3 linked regions of the Coturnix japonica genome follow. The protein of the gene in region 1 purifies or fractionates together with the protein of each later gene. This does not show direct contact. Links are inferred from orthologs where the notes say so. Each region holds a gene or a part of one and is shown in the gene's direction. Other genes may lie near its edges. The genes, in order: THEMIS, PTPN11 and GRB2.

Evidence for each region.
Region 2: the proteins of THEMIS (region 1) and PTPN11 purify together in Homo sapiens (co-immunoprecipitation; 3 studies listed by BioGRID and IntAct, counting the BioPlex papers as one, with this or other methods). This does not show direct contact. The link is inferred for Coturnix japonica from reciprocal best matches to the Homo sapiens genes THEMIS and PTPN11.
Region 3: the proteins of THEMIS (region 1) and GRB2 purify together in Homo sapiens (co-immunoprecipitation; 6 studies listed by BioGRID and IntAct, counting the BioPlex papers as one, with this or other methods). This does not show direct contact. The link is inferred for Coturnix japonica from reciprocal best matches to the Homo sapiens genes THEMIS and GRB2.

What each region holds. Positions count from the first base shown.
Region 1 is NC_029518.1:53,533,361-53,537,433, forward strand, and holds part of THEMIS (protein THEMIS), read left to right. Parts: intron 1-2,358; coding exon 2,359-2,817; intron 2,818-4,073.
Region 2 is NC_029530.1:5,554,603-5,558,675, forward strand, and holds part of PTPN11 (tyrosine-protein phosphatase non-receptor type 11), read left to right. Parts: intron 1-776; coding exon 777-908; intron 909-1,625; coding exon 1,626-1,780; intron 1,781-2,200; coding exon 2,201-2,268; intron 2,269-2,650; coding exon 2,651-2,802; intron 2,803-4,073. UniProt on the Homo sapiens protein: Acts downstream of various receptor and cytoplasmic protein tyrosine kinases to participate in the signal transduction from the cell surface to the nucleus. Positively regulates MAPK signal transduction pathway. Dephosphorylates GAB1, ARHGAP35 and EGFR.
Region 3 is NC_029533.1:9,419,491-9,424,361, reverse strand, and holds the start of GRB2 (growth factor receptor-bound protein 2), read left to right. Parts: upstream 1-1,809; 5' UTR 1,810-1,964; intron 1,965-4,112; exon of another isoform or gene 4,113-4,241; intron 4,242-4,871. UniProt on the Homo sapiens protein: Non-enzymatic adapter protein that plays a pivotal role in precisely regulated signaling cascades from cell surface receptors to cellular responses, including signaling transduction and gene expression.

The sequences.
Region 1 (4,073 bases):
AGTAGGAACTGAGTCCTGCAGCATCACACCTGGCTGAGATTTGGGCACCTGCTGTGGCATCCTCTCCCTTTTCTCACTCTGATCACCACAGAAGGGTAGTCATAGCCAGCATTGCCCCAATTTCCCATCTAAATGGTGAGGTAGGCAAATAGAACACTTAAAGCTTTTTAGATTTCACTGGAATCACTCGCAAGATGTAGAATTGGTGAGGAAGTGTCTTTAGTGGTGCCAAGCAATGCTCCATGAATCCTGCCCAAGGAGGTTTTGGATGCCCCATCCCTGGAGGTATTCGAGACCAGGTTGGATGTGGCTCTGGGCAGCCTGGTCTGGTGGTTGGCAATCCTGCACATAGCAGGAGGATTGAAACTAGATGATCACTGTGGTCCTTTTCAATCCAGGCCATTCTATGTTTCTGTGATTCTATTATCATATACATCCCATTCCTATTCCGTAACTGCAAAGATGGGAGAATTCCTTTACTCAAAGGACATGATACCCTTTGTATGGTCTGGAGGAGGAAAAAAAAAAAAAAAAGTAACAGGGCCATGGAATTTCTGCTTTTTGGCTTTGTAGGGATGTAGAGAAAATGTGCTGCATTGCCCTGGGAGGTTGGCTTCACTGTCAGCATAGCTGTAGCTAGAACATAAAAGCTGTAATGTGATTCTATGAGGCAGCATTCACACTGCTGCATCTTGGGAAGAGGATAGCTTAATCACATAGCTCAGCTAAACCCTACTGTTTAGTCCTTTAAACTGTCCACTTCATCTTCCTCTGTGAAAACTCTCACACAAATATAGAAATGTACACATTTTTCTTGTGATGTGAGCTCCTAATGAGACAGCTCCAAGGGCCATGACTAACATGAAATAATAATGTCCCCAGGGGCTAGGGAGGCTCAGATGCAGCTTCTGCCTTACAGTACAGTATTTCCGCACTTTAATTGCATTGCTATGGCCACAGTACCCAAACTGTGAAGCACTCCATCTGATGGTCTGGACTATCAGAGTTGCTAAGACCAAGTGTTCTTGCTCGTTCTCATCTTTACATGCTACTGGTGTTATTTCTTTAAAAATGCTTATTCTTGGAATCCCCTACATGTAGAAGATGTGTTTTACTGATGTTTAAGGAGAAAATTCACCCTGTGTTTCACCGATCACATTACTGACACTCTTTTCTCATATAATGTCTGCATTTGTTTCTTAAGGCCTGGTTTCCTGAGGAAACAAATAAGAATTTAACAGAATATGTATTCTTTTTTTTTTCTTTTTTCTTTTTTTTTCTGTAGCAAAAACTTTTTTCTTTTTCAATCATAGACATAAAAATTCTGCAGCTGTAGAGTAGAACAGTCTAATTCCATCTGTCTATGCTTTGTATCACGTGGTTGATATTATCTCTATACAGTTACATTTCTAGCAACTGAACTATCTGCTTGTTGTGGTTTAACCTGGCAGCAGCTCAGCCCCTCACAGCCTTTCACTCACTCCTCTGCAGTACAAGAGCAGAAAAAAAAAGTGTAAATCTCATGAGTTGAGACAAAGGGTGTTTAATATGACAGAAAAGGAAAGAAAATAATAACAATGATAATAACGATAAAAGAATATATAAAACAAGTGAAGCGCAATGTATTTGATCACCACCCACCTACTGATGCCAACCTAGTCCCTAAGAAGCAGATACCCCTCCCAACCAGCTCCCCTCAATTTTATGGTTTTTACACAAGATGCCATATGACATGGAATGTCTTGGCCAGACTAGGTCAGATGCTTTTTTCTCTCTTCACTCAGCTCCTTCTGTCCCCTCAGCACCCTCTTTGGCAGGACAGCATGAAAAGCTGAAAAACCAAAGCATTCTTTGCTCTGTATAGGACTGCTCAGCAACAACTAAAAATATTGGTGTGTTGTCATCATTATTCTCATTATAAATCAAAAACATGGCACCATACAGGCCATAATGAAGAAAACAATCTTTATTGCAGCTGAAATCATGACACAGATATGATCAGGGATTTTATCAATCCTTGTAAGTATGTAATGAGTGAGAGACAAGTGGATGGGGCCAGGTTTTTCTCAGCTCTGTCCAATATCTTATCAATACATGTGTGAATGAATATCTTTAGTTTGGGGGTGACAGAGCACTGGAACAAGCTGCCCACAGAAGCTGTGTAGTTTCCTCTGGAGGTATTCAAAACCAGCCTGGATGCTTTTCTGTGTAACCTATTCTAGGTAGCCTGCTTTAGCAGAGAGTTGGATTAGATGATTTCCAGAGGTCCCTTCCAAACCATGTTGTTTTTGATTCTGTGGTTTGTCTTGTCTTGCTCTGCATATTTTTCTTCTTATAATGCACCTTTTCTGTTCTTAGGTCTTTATAAGATTGTGGCAGACAAAACACCATATGTCAGCGTTGAAGAAATTACAAGAAAAGTCACTATTGGGCCAACGAGATTTGGCCATCCATGTTTTTACAGCCCGGAGGATGTAAAACTGGCAAACCTCACTATCAAACAGGGTGAGCAGATCACCTTCAATTCTGTGGAAGAGATCAATGGAACAATGGCTGTGAGCTGTGTTATGGTCAGAAACAACCGGTCTCATTCCTTTATTTTGCCACTATCACAAGAAGGAAAATTCTATGAGTGTGAAGATGACCAGATATACACCCTAAAAGAGATTGCAGAATGGAAAATCCCGAAGAGCAGAAGCCGGACTGTCAAACTCTCCAACACTTTACAAATGTGGAACTCCTCTAATCCACTTCCTGAGAATTTTGGTGGCTACATGGTTCTCATGCCTGTCTATGAAGTACAGGCAGTAATGAAATGTAAGTAGGAATTAAGATCAAAGATTTGTTTACTCTGTTTACACTTAAATTCGTACAAGTTGCTCAAAATAAGCAGGAAGAATTGGTTGGTGAATAATTCCTGAGCTGTCTTTACCAGTGATACCTATTCCAAATTGTAGAAAGATAAAAACAGTATCACCATCTGTATTTCCCCATCAGATATTAATACAGATAATTTCCTAGTATTACTTTCTGTTGTCATTTTACTTAATACTAAAATAAAATCATCTTTCAAAAGGAGATTTATAACATAGTGGAAAAGCAAAACTTAAGAGTTCAGTTCAACTCTGAGATCCTCTTTCTTTGTATCTCTTTGGCCTTGGAGTGGTCACAAGATCTCTGTAGGCATTCAAGGCCAGGCTGGATGGGGCCTTGAGTAGCCTAATCTAGTGGGTGACAACCCAGCCCATGGCAAGGGTCTAGAACTAGTTGGGCTTCACGATCCTTTTGAACCCTATCTGCTCTGTGGCATTCATTTTATAAGACACTCAGCTACAGTTTGTGAACTGCACAAAAAAAAAGAAAAAGAAAAAGAAAAAAAAAAATGTTTTTCCTTGTTAAGTCAATACTGTTCTGATTGTACTACCAAAAAGTTGAAACTAGTTGTTACTGTCCTTACTAGTGTTTATAGCTATGCATTACTTTGAACTGAAGTTAGATGTTATGGAAGGATATAAGTACACAATGAAAGACTCCTATTTTACGGTAGCTTGAATAGCTGAGCTGCAGCAATGACTCGTGTGCTTACACAATGCACTGATGAAAGTTCCTCCCTAATTTAAAAACAAAACAAAACAAAATTTAAAAAAAAAAACAAAAACAATAAACAGAATACCAGCAGCTTATGCTAAAATACTTGACTTTGCTTGAGGACAGCAAAGGCAGTAGGTGGAAAGTGGCTGCAGTTCTTGTTGATTTATCCACAGTGTTAAAGTTGGGTAGGAACTTAGTTTTTGGGAAGCTGAGCTGTCTGTTGCTTTTACTAGAAGCACATCAGAAAGCACAGAAATGAAATCCTGAGAGAAATATGTCATTCAGGAAGATATTAAGGAGGATATTTTTACTATGAAAATTCCTCTGGGTGATGGAATATGTTAGGAGATAAAATACACAGGAGAGAAATAAAAGAGAACAGAGACTTTTGCACAGTATACCATAGCTGCTAAACGCTTTTCATGAGATATTCCACTCTTCTTGCTCTGTGATTTAAAACTTTGGAAAGTATATTTTCACCA
Region 2 (4,073 bases), on another chromosome or scaffold:
TGCTGGAAGCTGCATCTGTCTTCCCCACTATATTTCTCATCTAATTTTGTGTTAGCCTTCACGAGGCTAACAGGAGCTGTTGTTGCAGGAACCAAATTAAAGAAGTAATAGGTTAAGCCACCCTTCAGTGTGTAGAATACATCCCTGGCCAAAGATAACCTTGAGAGAGAAGCAGCATGCTGAAAGCTCTAAATGTCGAAGCCTACAGATGCATCAGGCCGTCTGTCAAAGGGAGCAGTTCTGTGTTGCTTTGGTGATTGAATTAGAGCTATGTTAGCCCGTTTTTTCCCTGATTCTAAGCAATGAAAAAGCGAATGTCCAAGCTGCATTCCTGTTAAAAATGATTTATATCTTTGACTTGCGTTTGTTTTGCAGCCTGTTAGGTATTGATTTTAGAGCAGCATATGGAGCTGCAGCATTCCCCTGAAAATTCTTCGTATTTTGAAACAAATAGTTGGGTGGAGGTATAGGTAACTGCATTTCAATCCCAGGGCTTTGCAACTATGAGGCAAAACTGGTACTAAAATCATGAAAGCTGCTGAAAGGAGAGATTGCATGTACCACTTTTCCTGAAATAATTCCTTATTTGAGATATAGAAAAGAAACTTTCCCTTCACACATACTTTAATGTGTCATTTGATGTTGTCCAGTTGGTGCTGGTGTTGTCTTAGATGTTCTCAGAAATGAAAACTTCAGGAAAGTGCTCAGCGGTTCACAAAGCAGCCTTCTTGTGGATTACTCTTTAAAGTCTTGTTTGTTTGCTTTGAATCTTGCAGAGTAAGTGTGTCAAGTACTGGCCTGATGAATATTCCTTAAAGGAGTATGGTGTTATGCGTGTGAGGAACGTTAAGGAGAGCGCAGCACATGACTACACGCTAAGAGAACTTAAGCTTTCTAAAGTTGGGCAAGTAAGTATGTTAGTAGCTCTGTCCTTTTAATCTAGGTTGCAAGTAAAAAAAAATGCAGATTCTTCTTTCTGCAGAATCAATAAAAGCACTAAAAGATGAATAAATTGAGCCTTGACTCTTTCTTTGAAGTTCCAGCTTTAGCTCCATGCATCTTTCCCTTTGTCCTTGGGCTAATTGAAGATTCTTATACCTGAGCACTTTTTTGTTTTGGCAGAAGATGCATGACTGCAGAGCTTTGAGGAAGTCTGGAAAGAAGCATGAAAGTGCTTTTAAGTAATCATACTTTAGTCTAGCTAAGCATTTATCTGCCCTTTCGTGGAGGTGGTTGTACTAGAAGGAACTGTTGTATGGGAGTCCAGAATCTAGAAAGAGCTCTTAAGTGAAGACATGTAAAATGAGGAAGGAAGCAGTGAATTTGTGTGGGAACAGCACTTTGTTGTTAAGAAACAGAGCTTTTCCTTACCTTCTAAAGGTGAGACAGAAATATTGGAAATCGCTAAATGAGACAAAGAGGGAACAGTGGGAGCAGGTAGTGTGATTGACTTGTCAGGCCAAGAAAAACTCTTTCCTTCTTTAACTGAGCTGTAGTGCCACAGATATTGAGTAGAAGGGTTGGGTACACTGCCTTCTGATCTGACTCAACTTTGCTGAAGTAATGCTCTTAGTTGAATTTTGATCAGAAGGATTTTTTTTCACATGTTGATGTCTTCCTTCTAGGGGAACACAGAGAGAACAGTCTGGCAATATCATTTCAGAACTTGGCCTGATCATGGAGTCCCAAGTGATCCTGGTGGTGTACTGGACTTTCTCGAGGAGGTGCACCATAAGCAAGAAAGCATTTCTGATGCAGGACCAGTTGTGGTCCACTGCAGGTACAGTGATGCAGAATGCTTCTGCTTCTCTGGAGGTCTGTTGGCTTCTTTTTTTTACATCTATTGATGTATTGCTTGGGATCATGGGAATACTAGTCTACCATCCCACCTCCTGTAAGATATCACTCCTCATTTTTAATGTCTGAATTTTTGTTTTCAATAAGGCAAGGAAACATTTGATCTTTTAGTTCTGTCTGATCCAAGGTTGTTAATAAACACTAAGATACAGAAAATGCTGTTGTGACTTCTGCCTACTTCTGTCTCTCTGAAAATATAGGCCTCTGTTTTCTTTTGTCTGTGTAGTTTGGTTTGGCTTTACCTGGAAACTGGAAATCTAATGCTGCTTAGTGTTGTACTCTTAACTTAGGTTAGTGTTCTAGTGCCTTCTCACAGCAAAATTATCATTGTTCTTTTCCACAGTGCTGGGATTGGACGAACAGGAACTTTCATTGTGATTGATATTCTTATTGACATAATCAGAGAAAAAGGTAGGTGTCCTCAGCCTTTTGTTTTCTGCTGGGACATTGACATAGGTCACAGAAGCATTACAGTAGAAACAATAGAAATGTTGACAGAGGATTCTAGTATTGTTTTAGAGTGAGTACTTGTTTAGCATAAAAGGGACTCTGTCATTCTTCTTAGTTGGAATCAAAGTGCTGAAATCCTGCTCTAGGTCAGGATGATGAAAACTTTCAGCTGAGGATTAGCCAGGAATCTGTGTTATTTTTCTTAATATTTGTATTTAATTATTTGTTTAAATCTTTCATGAGTATGTGGCTGTCAGTCTGTTCATTGTATATAGAGGAGACCAATCTCTCCAAAAGCAAAGTTTACTTTGCTTCTAACCTCATGGTTATTTTTACTTCACAGGTGTGGACTGTGATATTGATGTTCCCAAGACCATTCAGATGGTGAGATCACAGCGGTCAGGAATGGTTCAAACAGAAGCACAGTACAGATTTATTTACATGGCAGTGCAGCACTACATTGAAACGCTACAGCGCAGGATTGAAGAGGAACAGGTATATTCATCTGAAGTGTAAATTATGTAGGAATATGTTATCACTGGAGCAGGGAGCAGAGTTGCTCATTTGCTGCTTGTGACTTGGAGACTTGACTGCCAATATGGCAATGAAATTTGAGTGTTAGGTTATGTGGAATGAAGTATATTGATCTGAAGGATTGTAAAGCATGTGATGAAAAAGCTTGGGATGTGAGGACAGTTGCAAGACACCCCTCCACACTTCTTTCTGTTCAGGTACCATCTAATTCTACCATCTTGTACAGAAGATGCATGGTTTTGTGATAAAGAACTAACTTTCTGTCCACTATTGCTTTCATTCTCTATTTTTCTGGTCATCTGGGACTTATCTTTTTCAGAATTTCAGTATCTTCTGCTGCCTTGTTGCTCAGGAGATAAACTCACGCAGATCATCAGGCAGATGTGGAAAGCCGTATGTTCATTGTTAGTTCAGTGCCAGTTGTGAGATTTAAGCCCTATTTTAGAGGTAGGGTGTGCCAGCTCAGTCTTGGCACTCTCGTGTGGCTTCTGGCTTCTTTGGAGTGTGACAGAACTTGTTTTATATTTGCCAGCATCATGTAGATGCACCGTTCAACAGAGGATGGAGTCTTTATTCTTTTCCCCAGGATGCCTGTTGTGTGCTTTGATGCTGATTAGACTCAAAGAGAAGAACATGAAATCCCTCAGGTGTACTTTTTTTCTGGCTTGCTTGTTTCACTTCACTTTAGAGCTTCCTCACATCTGTGTGTGATTGCACAAGCCTTGTATCCTCAGCTTTTGAATATAGTCTCTTTCTGCTGCCACCATTTATAAAGTAGATCTGTAACTTCTTGATTGCTGTAATGTGGTTTTGAATTATACTTTGGTATTGAGAGGAACAGTGCATTTCTCTTACAGTGATCAGTTGTTTCATCCTTTACTGTGTTACTAGCTCAAGAGGCGTGAGAATAAAAGTTTCTTGAAGTTGCAATAGAGCATTGCTTTACATCATGAATTCTTGAACCTAAAGGCTGGTGGCAGATGCAGGAATAAAGCACAATAATACTTTTCAGATAAAAGCAACACTTTGAGTATAGGAAGTAACATCCTGGAGGAAAAAATAAAGATATGATATAATGTAGCACTTACAGCTGTGCTGAAGCAATGGGTATGGACACATAGCTGCATCCATTCACATAGACATGAGTTCTTTGTATTCAGAGAAAAAATTCCCTGGATTCTCTGCTAGCATTCCCTTCTGCATTGCAGTGCTGAGAGCCTCAGGAGTTCCTA
Region 3 (4,871 bases), on another chromosome or scaffold:
GTAAAGGCCAGGCACTGGAGGGGGGCTGCCTTTTGGGAAGGATTGCTGCATGCGTAGGGTGCTTGTTCGCTGGCTGGGTGAGTTCCATTCTTCTTTCTGTATATGACTATTGGCCTACCTGTGAATACTTACCTGGTATTGCTAAGACCCTGTCAGAAGCAATGCTGCTTCTTTGAAAGTAGAGCATTAACAAACATAGTGCTAAGAATGTTTCCTGAGAGCTCCCCAGAAACAGGCACAGCATCTGAATGCTATTAGGAAAATCAGATGTGTATATTCATTCAAACAGAGTATGACTTTTAAGTGGAAAATGTACTGTTCAGTTCAACAGGCTTTATATTTTACTATTTTCATGAGTTCCAGCAGGACAGTGCTGCCCCACACCCCAGGCAGGCCTTGTTTTTAGTCAGCCCTACCAAAGGACTTGTCTGCTGGCCAGTCCCCCATGGCTCCTGGCAAACTTCACCAGCCGTGGGAGTACGTGAGCACTTACTTGAAGGGTAGCTCTGGTTTGAGCAGTTTGATCTTAGCTGTGCTTGCTGTGCCTGATAGGAACGTATCTGAAACAGGGATAACCTCTGAGAAATACAAATCTAAAGATTATAAAATTAAGATTAAAGGGAACAGGTTAGTTTTCTCAGTTCCACTTGCGTTGCCATTATTTGTTCCTGGGACCTAAGCTAAAGCTACTAATATTTATTATCTCCTCATCAGATAAAGTGTTGGTGATACACTTATTTAAAAGGTTCAAGTTAAGAATAGTGTTGATGAGCTTGAGTAGATGAAGTACTAACCAAAAGGACTTATGGTGCCTGTATAAATCAGCAGCATGTATGTCTGTATTATAGAGATTTCTTAATGTGACTCTTAAGCCTTCTAGGTTATTTAAATTGTGCTCCATGTGCACTTTAACATAGCACAGGAGCTAATAATAGTTTGTTTACACTTCTGTTTTTAAGGAATCTGAAATACAGATGCACTACATTATCACATCTTGTGCATGCTGTACTGTTCATTGTCCAACTGTGAATTTTGTTCCTACTGTTGCTGTAACAAACAACATGATTTTAATCAATTTTGCCATAGGGGCTTTGTCTTTTTTGAAACTGTGTGTGTGTGGGAAGCTGTGCTACTGGGAACTGCTTCAGGAGGATGGATCCGCCGGGTTCCTGCCCTGCTGGGAGCTTCAGGTGCTCGTCAGACTCGGGCAGTTTGCAGGTACCGGCCTGACCGCCACACGAGCCCTGACGTGCCGGGTGGGCGCTGAGGCGTTTCGCCCCGTGCGAGCGGGCCCAGCTGCCGCTTCAATGACAGGAACACCGAGTCCGTGTGCCCCGGAGCTACGCGTCGGAGCGTTCTGCCATTTGTTCGCTTCTTTCTCTCCTATCTCCTTCACAAGCCGCCGGGTATCGCTCCGCTGAGGGTAACGGCGCTGCGCGGGAGCCTCCGGCCCGAGGGGAAGGGAGGGCTTTGCAAGGGCCTCTATACAGGGCCGGGGCCGAAGGGGGAATATCCCAACTGAGGGAGCGCGGGCCCTCCCGAACTCGCCCCGCGGCGGGACGGAGCGCAGCCGCCGCCGCTCGGCCTGTACTCACCAGCCGCACCGGGCCGTCTCGGCGGGGAAGCCGCCCGGCCTCTCCCAGCGCCGCCGGGGCCGCCATCAGCGTCACTGGCGAACCGGGCCGCCACGGCGCTGGGGACTCGCGGCGGCTTCCTCAAGAAGCCGGTATCTGGTTGGTGGGATCCCGGGCGGCTGCCCGTACGCCGCTCGCTGATTGGTGAGGTCGGAGTAGCGCGCGAAGCCGAGCGGGCGCTTTGGCGGCGGGTCGCCCTGAGCAGCGGCGGCTCCTCACGGAGCGGCCACGTCTGACCCCGCCGCAGACGGACGGACGGCGGCCGGCACCTGCGGGAGCCGCTGTGTGTCACGGCCACCGGCCGGATGGAGGCAGCGCGGGAGCACTGAGGTGAGTGTCGCTGCGCAGGAAGCCGCGGGGCAGCGAGGCCGGTAACATGAGGAGAAATCTGAACCGCTGCGCAATATGGGAACGAAATCGGGGGTGACGCGGGGACGGCGCGTGGTGCCGCTGTGCTGAGCCCCGAGCTACCGGCAGAGCCGATACGGTTCGCGTGTGTCGTCATCCCCGTAGGTCGGCGCTCGTACGTCCCGGGTTGAGACGCGCTGCTCCGTGTGAGGATCCTCCTCACAGAAGCGCTGTTCGTCTGGTGATGAATTGCAGGTGCTGAAATTGTTTGTGCTTTGGTGGTAATGAGTTGCTGTAACCCTTCATAGTCGCTTAAAAGGAAATAGTGGCAGGTCTGGGGGATTTTCTGCTGTAGTTTAGACACGATACAGGGAAGGGGATACGTGAGATCGTGGGCTTAGTGCTGCGTGAGCCTCTTGTTAGTTCCTCTTCAGGTTGTTCCACCACCACAGCAAAATGTACCGAATTAGTAAAATGCTTTAAAGAAGAGGTTAAAGATGCATCTTGAACAGAGGTTTGGAGGCTGGATTACTTGGTTCCTGAGGCAGATTCCCCGTGGGTCTCAAGTAAGCTACTAATAAAAGCTACTTTTTCTCTGTGTTCTGAATAGATTTTTAAGATGTAGTCTTAAAATCTATTAGTAGCAGAAAATCACACATTGATTTGTCTAGGCTGCTCTGAGGCGTTTAAGAAAAGATCCAAGTGTCAGGCACCAAGTCTTCTCTTAAAAGTTCTTAAAATACTCAAAACTATTCTTAGATTGTTTTATCACCACAAATGGTCATAGAGAATTCAAGCTATTCCTGGACTAGCGCATAATTTGAAATCGATCCTCTAGTAAAACATGTCTTCCACCCGGGCTTACAGCTGTGCTGGGATTTCGGCTTTTGTCGCCGTGAAGCTGCTCTGGTATCTGTGCAGTAAGTTGTACATTTTAAAGTGTTCACGTGCTTGCGAGGAGGGGGAACAATCTACCTTCCCTGATCTGTAAGTGCATCTCAGCAGCTTCTTTATCAGAAGTATTTTTCCATAACACTTTGATCTCTGCTATTTCTAAAATCTGTTGATGACTTGCCCTTGTAGGGCTGCCCTTTTAAAGTCGGGCAGCTACAGCCTCTTACAGTAGCCGTGGTTCATGTGGCAGCTGTTGGCCATGTCTGGTTGTTCAAGTCCTGTGACAAGTACCTGCTGTCACTGCTGCGATTGTTGTTGAACTTACTGAGAAATTCTAAATCTTCCCTTTGAAGTCAGATGGTGAAACCAGAGACTCGAGGTCGGTGCTAGCGCGAGACTGGAGACATGTTGGAGTCGAGCTGTGGTTGCAGCAGTCTGTCATCCCCGATAAACGACTTGTGCATCCTCACAAACAATGCCTGAAACACGTGGAACATCCTCAGCTCCCAGGGCTCTTTTTCTCCACCCTCTATGGGGAGAGAACCGTCAGTAATTTGCTCGTGGCTGGTCAGTGCTTGTTCTGGGAAACTGGCACGCGATGGTGGGTTGTTTTGTCGTTAGTTTTGTTTTTTTGTTTTTAAAAAAGCCTTTTTCTAGGATTGCGAGTGCGGTTCTGGAAAGCCTGTTTCAGAAATAGCTTTTCTCCCTAGAGCATGAGGAAATATTCTTCATGCACTTGTGTTATTGAGGAATTGAGTATTTTAATTGCAGGCTCTTGGAGCTAAAGGAATTCTAAGAATGCTGTGCAATGAGACCTTGGGGTGACGGCACGTGCGCTCTGGGTCCTGCCCTGCGCACACTGTAAGGCCTGTTTTTCCCCTGCAGAGCTCGGAGCAGCCGGTTGCAGAGCTCCAGCTGTGGATCTCTGCACCCTCCCAGTTCCGAGGATCGCAGCGTTCATGCTCGGGTGCAGTTTCCGTAGCAGTAACGTTCCGAATGTGCTTGTCACTGCGCGGTGCAGGGCGCCCCGCGCTCAGTCCAGCAGAGGCGCACATACAACAGCGCATTACCGGCCCCGCGCAGCCCGGTCCCGGCTGCCGGTGCGAGCTGCGCGTGCGCGCAGGGGGCTGCCCGTCTGCCACGCGGGAGGTGGACGCGCATGCGCCGCAGCGCGGCGGGCGGAGCAGCGAGTTGGTGACAGGGCCGCTCTCGCGAGAGTTGCCGAGGGGACGGTGGCGGCGGCGGAGCGGGCGGAGGGGGAGCCGCGGGACGGGGCTGGAGCTCGGGCGGTGACCGGGGCGGCGCTGGAGGGGCGAGCGGGCGACGGCAAGCCTCGGGAGAGGCGGCGGCCCACAGCGCTGCGCGGTGAGTGCGGGGGAAGCGGGGGGGGGGCGCGTGTGGCGGGCCGGCGCCGGGCCGCCGATCCCCCCGCCCTCGACCCGCTCCGGTGAGCGGCAGGCTCCTCCGGCACAGGCCCGGCTTCCCGGGACGCCGAGCGTCGGCGAAGGGCGGCCCTCTCCGTCGCGGCCTGCGCTCCGCACGGCTCCGCCTCCTCTCCGTGCTCCGCGGTGCCGAGGCTGCGGGCCCGAGTCTGAGCTCGGGCTTCCCGAGGCGCTGCTCGCTGAGGCGCTGGCTGGGCGGCCGAGCGAGCTCCCGTTGTGTTCAGGGGCTGCCTGCTGGGGAGGGTTCGGTCAGGCGCTGCTCAGGCCCCCAGCTGGACTGCGACTGGGGTCTGGGGCTGCGTCTTTGGGGGGGTGTGTGTAGGGGGGATGGTTCTTGGGGCGTGTTTTAAACGCTCCGCAAAAGGATTTTAGGGTTTCAAGTCCAATCCTAAGGTACGAAAGGTTGTGAGTAACCCGTAGTCAGGTTAACATCCGTGCTCGTCTTTCTTCTAAACCTTTTGGGTCAAGCATTAAATGTGAGTTTCTAAGATAGCGATTTTTCCCTTAGCTTTTTCTTCTGGACTTCCTGTTTTGAGATTAAGGGTTGGTTTTG